Mus musculus: one gene and its partner. The protein of the gene in region 1 purifies or fractionates together with the protein of each later gene. This does not show direct contact. Links are inferred from orthologs where the notes say so. Each region holds a gene or a part of one and is shown in the gene's direction. Other genes may lie near its edges. The genes, in order: Ewsr1 and Ddx17.

The links.
Region 2: the proteins of Ewsr1 (region 1) and Ddx17 purify together in Homo sapiens (affinity purification with mass spectrometry; 3 studies listed by BioGRID, with this or other methods). This does not show direct contact. The link is inferred for Mus musculus from reciprocal best matches to the Homo sapiens genes EWSR1 and DDX17.

Annotation. Positions count from the first base shown.
Region 1 is NC_000077.6:5,082,009-5,085,816, reverse strand, and holds part of Ewsr1 (RNA-binding protein EWS), read left to right. Parts: intron 1-2,245; coding exon 2,246-2,457; intron 2,458-3,383; coding exon 3,384-3,564; coding exon of another isoform or gene 3,565-3,568; exon of another isoform or gene 3,569-3,808. UniProt on the Homo sapiens protein: Binds to ssRNA containing the consensus sequence 5'-AGGUAA-3'. Might normally function as a transcriptional repressor. EWS-fusion-proteins (EFPS) may play a role in the tumorigenic process.
Region 2 is NC_000081.6:79,543,910-79,548,439, reverse strand, and holds the start of Ddx17 (probable ATP-dependent RNA helicase DDX17), read left to right. Parts: upstream 1-1,698; 5' UTR 1,699-2,195; coding exon 2,196-2,245; intron 2,246-4,530. UniProt on the Homo sapiens protein: As an RNA helicase, unwinds RNA and alters RNA structures through ATP binding and hydrolysis.

The DNA of each region.
Region 1 (3,808 bases):
TTGGCTTCCTTTTTTTTGTTTTGTTTTGTTTTTCGAGACAGGGTTTCTCGGTATAGCTCTGGCTGTCCTGGAACTCAATTTGTAGACCAGGCTGGCCTCGAACTCAGAAATCCGCCTGCCTCTGCCTCCCAAGTGCTGGGATTAAAGGCATGCGCCACCACTGCCCAGCTTAGCGCTTCCTTGGATAAGATTTGTTTTCTGACTTGCCCATAGTTGACCACATACCTAGTTAATAGTCACACCTCAGCCTTGGATTCCCATAGCAGTGCTTGGGATCTAGCTAATAACTGTTCTCTAAATACCGACCGCAAAACTTCAGTTTTGGTCTTATAACTAACTTAAAAGTATGAGAAACAGAACTGTTTGGAGCCATTGGCACAGAACCATAGCAATTACTCCTCAAACACAGGCACCATGGGCAAAGTGAAGGGCAAGACCTCCCTACTACTGTTTGTAGTGCTGGGGAGGGAATCTGGGCTCTTGTTCATTGCTGGGAAAGGACTTTGCCTATGAAGTACTCCAGCTCAAGTTTCCTTGTCCTTCATTTTCTGTCTTAACCATTGTAGCTTCAATGTTCAATTTTAGTTTAGAAAGCTGCAAGTTTTCTGAGCTGTGTCTCATTTGAAGTAAGTTTCAAATGAATTGACAAAATTGTTTTAAAAGGTTAGTTTAATTGGCTATAATATAAAATAGTTTCTGTTTGCATCTGTTTTAGGGTTTCTAGTCCTGCACAAAACATCATAACTAAGAAGCAAGTAGGGGAGGAAAGGGTTTATTCGGCTTACACTTACTTTGCTGTTCATCACCAAGGAAGTCAGAACTGGAACTCACACAGCGCAGGAAACTGGAGGCCGGAGCTGATGCAGAGGCCATGGAGGGGTGCTGCTTACTGGATTGCTTCCCCTGGTTTGCTCAGCTTGCTTTCTTACAGAACCCACAATAGGCTGGGCCCTCCCCTCTTGATCACTAATTGAGAAAATGTCTTACAGCTGGGTCTCATGGAGGCATTTCCTCAATGGAGGCTTCTTTTGTTTTGTTAAGATTATTTTATTTATATGAGTGCACTCTGTCTTCAGACATACCAGAAGAGAGCATACAGGTTGTGGGCCATCATGTGGTTGCTAGGAATTAAATTCAGGACCTCTGGAAGAGGAGCCATCTCTCCAACCCCATAGACTGAATCTTGACAGGTGTGGAGAGGTGTGACAAATACTTAGTTTAGTAGAACATATTTATGGTTCATTGAGAGTCCCATTGTGTCCCTACTCCAGCCAGGGTTATTCTGTGTGGTCCTGACTGTCCTAAAACTCAATCTAGATATTTAGGACAGGCTGGCCCTGAACCCAGGGATCTGTCTGCCTCTTGGGAGACAAGAGTCCTGGGATTAAAGCCTTGCCTTGCCACTACACCCAGCTAAGAGTCTTTAAGGTTTATTTTTAGTAGTATGTGGAGGTACATAGATTACCTGCTGGGTAGTTTTACAGAGACCTAACATCTTTTATACAGTATCCTAAGGTCTCTTACCAGTCTCGTCTTTATTCCTAGATTTCCAAGGATCAAATATGTTTGTTTGAAAGGTTGAAACTATAGCAAAGCGATTTTGAGTCTGAAAGAAAATGTCATTTTTGGAGTGGCATACTTAATATGCTCATGTTTACACTCTATTACCAAGCAGGTATTCCTCAGAAAGTCATAGTCATAACTCAACCTATTAGACGGCTGAAATAGAACACTTGCCTAGTGTGTGAGGCTCTAAGTTGGAGCCTCAGAACTACAAAAAGAAAAGAAGGTGTTCTGGGAACTAAATACCTCACTTGACTCTTCTTCCTCCTCACTTTCCGTGTCTTTTCATTAGTCATCTCTTAAGTGCACATGTACATAGTCTGCCCTTCTGAACTGTATTTGTCTTAAATGTATTTGAAAAACGTTTTAAGTAGGAGCTCTGAACCACAACTCAATGTTCACATGGGTTCTTTTCATTTTCTCTTTTACATTTAAAGCTTTATTATTGGAAATAAATCCAAAAGTGTTGCCAGACAGTGTTGCACACCTGTAATCCAGCACACGGGAAACTGAGGCAGAAGAGTTGTGTGCAGGTGGACAGTCAGCCTGGGCTACATGTAGTGAGACCCTCTCAATGAAAGTAAAAAGAAAGTAATTGTTAGGATGCCTGTGAATGTCTCATATTCTTGGCAGAAATAACATGATTTTTCTCCTTCCTGAAGATTCTGTTTTTTTCTTTCAGCTACTCCTCTTCACAGCCGACTAGTTACGATCAGAGCAGTTACTCTCAGCAGAACACCTATGGGCAGCCGAGCAGCTATGGACAACAGAGTAGCTATGGTCAACAAAGCAGCTATGGGCAGCAGCCTCCTACTAGTTACCCCCCTCAGACTGGATCCTACAGCCAGGCTCCAAGTCAATATAGCCAACAGAGCAGCAGCTACGGGCAGCAGAGTGAGTTGCTAAGAGAGAAAACTAAGTATGAGTGATTTTGCTTGGAGTTTGTGAGACTGGGGAATGCTTGTTACCACTGTTTGCTTCTGGAGTCTAGAGTGTGAGTGTGCACTATAACATCCTATCCTGCATGATAGTCTGAATGCCCAAGTAGGGGCTCTGTCAGCAGGGTGGGCGCTCTGCAGTGAGTAGGGCTGGCATTCTTTAAGACCTGCCTTAATTAAACATTAAGAGAAAGTGATAGCTATAGAGGGCTACTGTGGATTTTGATAACCAAGTAAAAACTGTGTTTTGATTTTGTGTAACTGAGTGAGCAAAGGGAGTCCTGCTCACAGAGCACTAGCGAGCACACCCCCAACCCCCAGTGCTTATCCTTACATTTGGAAAAGTGACTAAAAACCCAAAAGTATCTCAGTCACTATTTAATTTCTGCCTCAATTGTTGCACTTTTAAATTTGAATTTCATCAGCCAGGCATGATGGCGCAGCATTTGCAGTGAGGTTCCGACTCTTAAGGCTCTTAAGGGTGTGTGTGTGTGTGTGTGTGTGTGTGTGTGTGTGTGTGTGTGTTGTTTTATTTGTTGCTGGGATGACTAGTTACAATTCCGCCCTTTGTACGCCAGAGCCCTAGGTAACTTGGCACTCACTGCTTTTGGTGTTGAGAGTGCAAAGAAGCTGCTTTTGGAGACATCTGAAGCACAGAAACTTACAAATATATTTTCCCAGAAGAAAAATCCTTTGGAAGTAGTTTTATAGCCTGGCCATACAAGGCCTTGATAAGCCAACAGTTCTTACAGAGAGAGAGCCTGTGATAGAAATACTTTGAGCATAGTGCTTATGTTGAAAGCTCCATGAGTCCAGGAGAAAGGGTGTCAGGCATTGGTGTGAATGCTGGTCCGTGGCTTACAGATGTGACTCTTTCCTCAGGTTCATTCCGACAGGACCACCCCAGTAGCATGGGTGTTTATGGGCAGGAGTCTGGAGGATTTTCCGGACCAGGAGAGAACCGGAGCTTGAGTGGCCCTGATAACCGGGGCAGGGGAAGAGGGGGATTTGATCGTGGAGGCATGAGCAGAGGTGGGCGGGGAGGAGGACGCGGTGGACTGGGGTAAGAGCAAAACCTTTTCTCCTTTTATCTAATTTTGTTTCATCCATAGGATTTTCAATGGAAAGAAGGGACTGAAAGACATAAGAAATTTATCCCACATTTCCATGGACAATCTATTGCGGTCAAGCTATCTCCTAAAACATGGAAATGTCATTTAAGTGGCAGTTTGCTTTTTTCCCTGCCAGTAACCATTGTTGGGCTGGGGTGAACAAAGAATGGCTTTGAAACTAGAGCTTTCAGTCCC
Region 2 (4,530 bases), on another chromosome or scaffold:
GCTCTGTCTGTCTTACTATGTAGACCAGACTGGCCTAGAACTCAGAGAGACTAAAGAAAAGAGACAGTACACTGGGCCTTCACTAGATTAACTGTTCCTGCCTTAGCTGCCTCTCAGTTGATTCTCTGCACTGCAGTCAAAGGGGTCCTTCTTTATGCCGCTACTTTAAACCAGACATTTTCACCTTCAAGGAAACCAAGCTCTTTAAGTAGCTTCCATCTTCTTGGACTCAGGCTTTGCATAATTGATCTTCCCCCTTGGCAGCAAGGACCTTAGTTGAGACCTCAGCTCAAATGTCATTTGATAGATGGGGGATGCCTTCTGAGAGCACCCGATGTCATCCCGTTTCCTCAACTTGTCTCTAGCCCCTTTCTTGTTTTTGTTTCTTTGGTGTTTGTTGGTTGGTTTTTGAGAGAGGGTTTCTTTGTGTCACCCTGGCTATTCTGGAACTCACTTGGTAGACCAAGCTGGCGTTTAACTCAAGAGATTCACCCACGAGTGCTGGAATTAAAGTATGGCCTTCCCTTTAGTGTTTTTTTGCTGTTGTTCTTGGAGGTGCTGGGTGTTGAATCCAGGGCTTCAGTCACGGTCAGCAAGCACTGTTCCACAGCCTCAACACCATTTTCTTTTCCAAGTCAGCAAAAGTCTAACATACACATTTGTCATCTGTCTCCTCTCCGTCTCTAGAGAATAAAGCTCTGTGCCAAGGAACGTGTTGGATCCCCAGTGTCCCAGCAACTAGCACAATGCCTGGCTCTCCATGGCCGAAGTGACAAATGAACCGTTTCTCAAGACGCCTCTTTACTCTCCTGGCTTTCCTAACCTAAGCAACACTCAGGACATGAGACAAGACTAAGCCTCCAGTCTGCCGGCCTCCATTCTCCGCGGCGGTAGAAATGAGCCTAGAGGTCTCAAGGAACCCAGCAGTTCCACAATTTAGTAAAGCAACTATGTCCAAGTTTGTGTGGCTTGGCAGTGCGCAGGGATGGCGAGCCAAAGAAAGCAATCTAGGAGTTGGGTGGCACCGGCGGCCTAGCCCAGCCTGCCCTCCCCGGATAGGGTTTGCAAATCCTAGCCTGTCAAACCCACCGCTTCTGCAGTGGGGCACCCGGGTAAGGCACCCATTTTCATGGTGGCTAAGGTCCAAGGCGCCCACCTCAGAAAGGACTCTGGGAAGGTGTGGCCTCTGCGTCAACTACGGCCAGAGGAAAAGGTGCCAACCCTTTGTTCGGAAAATAGCACCTCAGTAAGAAACGCGGGAAACACAGGGTGTCTTTTGGCCCAGCCAGGCTGTTGGCCGCTGAAAGAGAGCGACACGACGCATCCAACATGGCTGCGGCGCCAGCGCGGCGAAAAGCGACGGGAAAGAAATGGCGCCGGGCTGTGTGGCCAGCTTGGGGCACACGGCGTTGGGACGTTGGAACCAAGAAAGCGGCCTCAAGACTCTCTGGGTTCTACTGCCCAGAGACCCGGAAGTCTGACTAAGGCTACGTGGAGTGCTACCATTATGTCTGCACAAGGCCGGCCTCAAGCGCCGGGTTGAGCTCGGAATGCCGGGAAAAGTCCATTCTCGAAACAGAATGCGCTACGAAGACTGCGCTGACCCGCAATAGTGGGCGGGCCAACGACGCCAACACTGTGACGTCGTGCCGACGGCTCGCCCCACCCCCAGCCAACGTTCTAGAGCTGGCGGTGCGAGAACCCTACGCCGGTTGCGCACATTGCCTTGTTTAAGGTGGGCCGACCAGGGCCCCCATCTCCGTCACCGACGTAAAGCGGTTCCGAGAATGTCCGTGGCGTCGCGCGGAGCCCTCCAGACGCTGTTTACGTAGCGTCTGGGCCGTGCGTAGCGTTAAGTTGGAGCGGTCTCCGCGGCCGCCGCCATTTTGTGCAGTTGCTGGGAAGGAAGGGAGACGCCTCAACCGTGGCACCGCCCGGTTTGAGCGGGACCAGACCTCCCGACTGTCCTAACAACCCCGATTCTCTGAGTTGTGCTCCCGTCTCCGACGAGAGAGGCGGCGACGGTGGCGTCTGCGACGGGAGACAGCGCGTCGGAGCGAGACAGCGCCGCGCCTGCCGCCGCCCCAACAGCGGAGGCGCCGCCGCCGCCATCGGTCATCACTAGACCCGAGCCGCAGGCCCTCCCGAGCTCGGTCATCCGTGCCCCGCTCCCAGATCTTTATCCGTTTGGGACCATGCGTGGAGGCGGCTTTGGGGATCGGGATCGTGACAGGGACCGTGGAGGGTAAGGGGGAGGTGCGGGCGGGGGGCGGGGTGGCCCGCAGAGCCCTGAGGCTCGCGCCGTACAATGGCGGCGGCGCGCAGGCCTCAGGCTTGGGCGGACGTCTCTGCGGACCGCGATCCTGGCTCGGAAGTGGCAGGCCAGCCTTGTCGCCTCTCTTGGCCCGCTCGCTGATCATTTGATCCCTGCAGGCCGGCCGCAGTGTCTGTCTGGGGGAGGATCCGGATGCTCAAGTTTTAATCTAGGAAAAGCTGCTTGAGATCGTTTCTTTTCCGCTATGTTAGCCATCCCTGTTAGAGAGGGACTGGAGTCGAAAAGGCCTTTTTTTGGTTTTAAACTAGGTTTTACTCCCTTTCTGTTATATTTTTGGTTAAGTGGAATCAGATTGGAATGGGAAGTGCTGGAGTTGCTTTCCAAAAGATCCAAATTGCGGGTGACTTTTTTTTTTTTTTTTTGAAACTAACAAAGCCTGTTGAAATCAAGAGAACTCCTTGAGGTGGCACACCCTGCACTAGAGACTGAGTCAGGCTTGGAGTTCAAAGCTAGCCTGGGCTACACAGATCAGAACAAGAGAACAGTTAGCAGAGTTCAAAGTGAGGGCAGTGGTAGAAAGAAAAAAAAATCAGAATAAGCCTTGTAAAGGAATCGTAATTGTAGAAGCTTTATTCTGTCCTAGGTCATTATTCAAGATCCAAGCAGTTTGGGATTATAAGCAAGCCCAGTGGAAATAACACATAGGAGCCACATTATTATCCTTATTAGACTTAGCCTTAAAATCTCCTAAAGATTGGGTTTTGGCCATTATTACAGATTGAAAACAAAAGAAAACTGGTTATTTCTAGAAGTGTTTTAGACTTGTATCAGTTGCTTCATTTGCAAGTGGAGTAAAGTAGTCAAATGAGAAGGCCTGGCTCACTGTAGTATTGCACTGAAAAGCCAGAGGCCTTTTAAAGGTCTTGGTGGGTCTACTCAGTTGAATGTTTTTCTTTCTAGTTGTGCTGGTTTAGCAGTGGTATTAATAAGTCACCCAAATTCTGCCTACTGAATGTAGATACCCAAAGAATTCCAGTAAAATTTCTGGCCATGATCACTGCAGGGTGGGTTTGTCTCAGGGCCATGAAGCTTAGTCTAACGGTTGTCCTGGAATGTGTCCTCAGTGTCCCCAAGTTCAGAAACACGGGTGTAGGCCACCACACCAGGTTCTAACAGAAGAGGGGATTACCTTGTGGGGTTCCTGCTACCTCTCCCAATATTGGCAGGTCTTGAAATGAAATTCTTTAAAATAACTTGAAATTTCTCCAATTTTCTAGTGGTTTACAGGAAATAAGGAAATGAGATCTTGCAGAGCATGGTGGCTCATGCCTTTAATCCCAGCACTCTGGAAACAGAAAGAGAGGCCTCCAGCACAGCCAAGGCTATATAAAAGAAACCCTGTCTCGAAAAACAAAAGAAAAAAGGAAATGAGATTTTTTTTTTTTTTACAGCCCTGTACTCTCATAGATTAAGACAAAGAGGGTATATTAGGATTGTAGTTTCTAATTTCTTGTATCTTAGGTTTGGCAAGTGGCCATATCTATATTGTTTAGCTTACCTGTTTGTTGTATCTAAAAGACAAGGCTTATTTAAATCTGAGGGGGGTTTGTTTTGACACAAGTCTCATAGACCAGACTGCCCTTGAACTCTGACCTTGCCCACAGCTTTCACGTGCTAGGACTACACGTTATTCAATACCATGTCTAGCTTTGAATCTTATTTAAAAAACAAAACAAATACCCATAACCTACATTGATGGGGTTTTTGTTTTGTTTTCTCCCTGTAACTAAATAGTATTATTTGACCCTGGTGTGGTGACTCACATTTATAATCCCAGTGTTTAGGAGGCTGAGGCAGGAGGATTTCATAAAGAAGGCTGGAGAGGAAAGGATTACAACTCTTTTATTCTGGCTCTTTCTTTAGAGTAAACTAAACACACTAGACCCTGATGTCCCAATAGTTTGCTTTATAGAGTAGCAGAGAAGTTTTTGCCCCCAGCATAAGTGGGGAAATTGGCTAAGAAGCTGTTGTAAATTTGAAGGACTTGCTTGAAGTACATTTTTTTCGATGTCCACAGTCTTGGTCTTGCAGTTTAAAAGAGTACCACTTCTCTGCAAGAGCAGAGACCGTTAGTTTTTATTGTATCCAGAATCTCTAGTGCCAATTAAAACTATACTTAGTATAAAGTCGGTATCACTAACTTTGTCAGAGAGCTAAAATAGGTGGGAAACTGAGGTGGGAGGAATGCTGTTCCT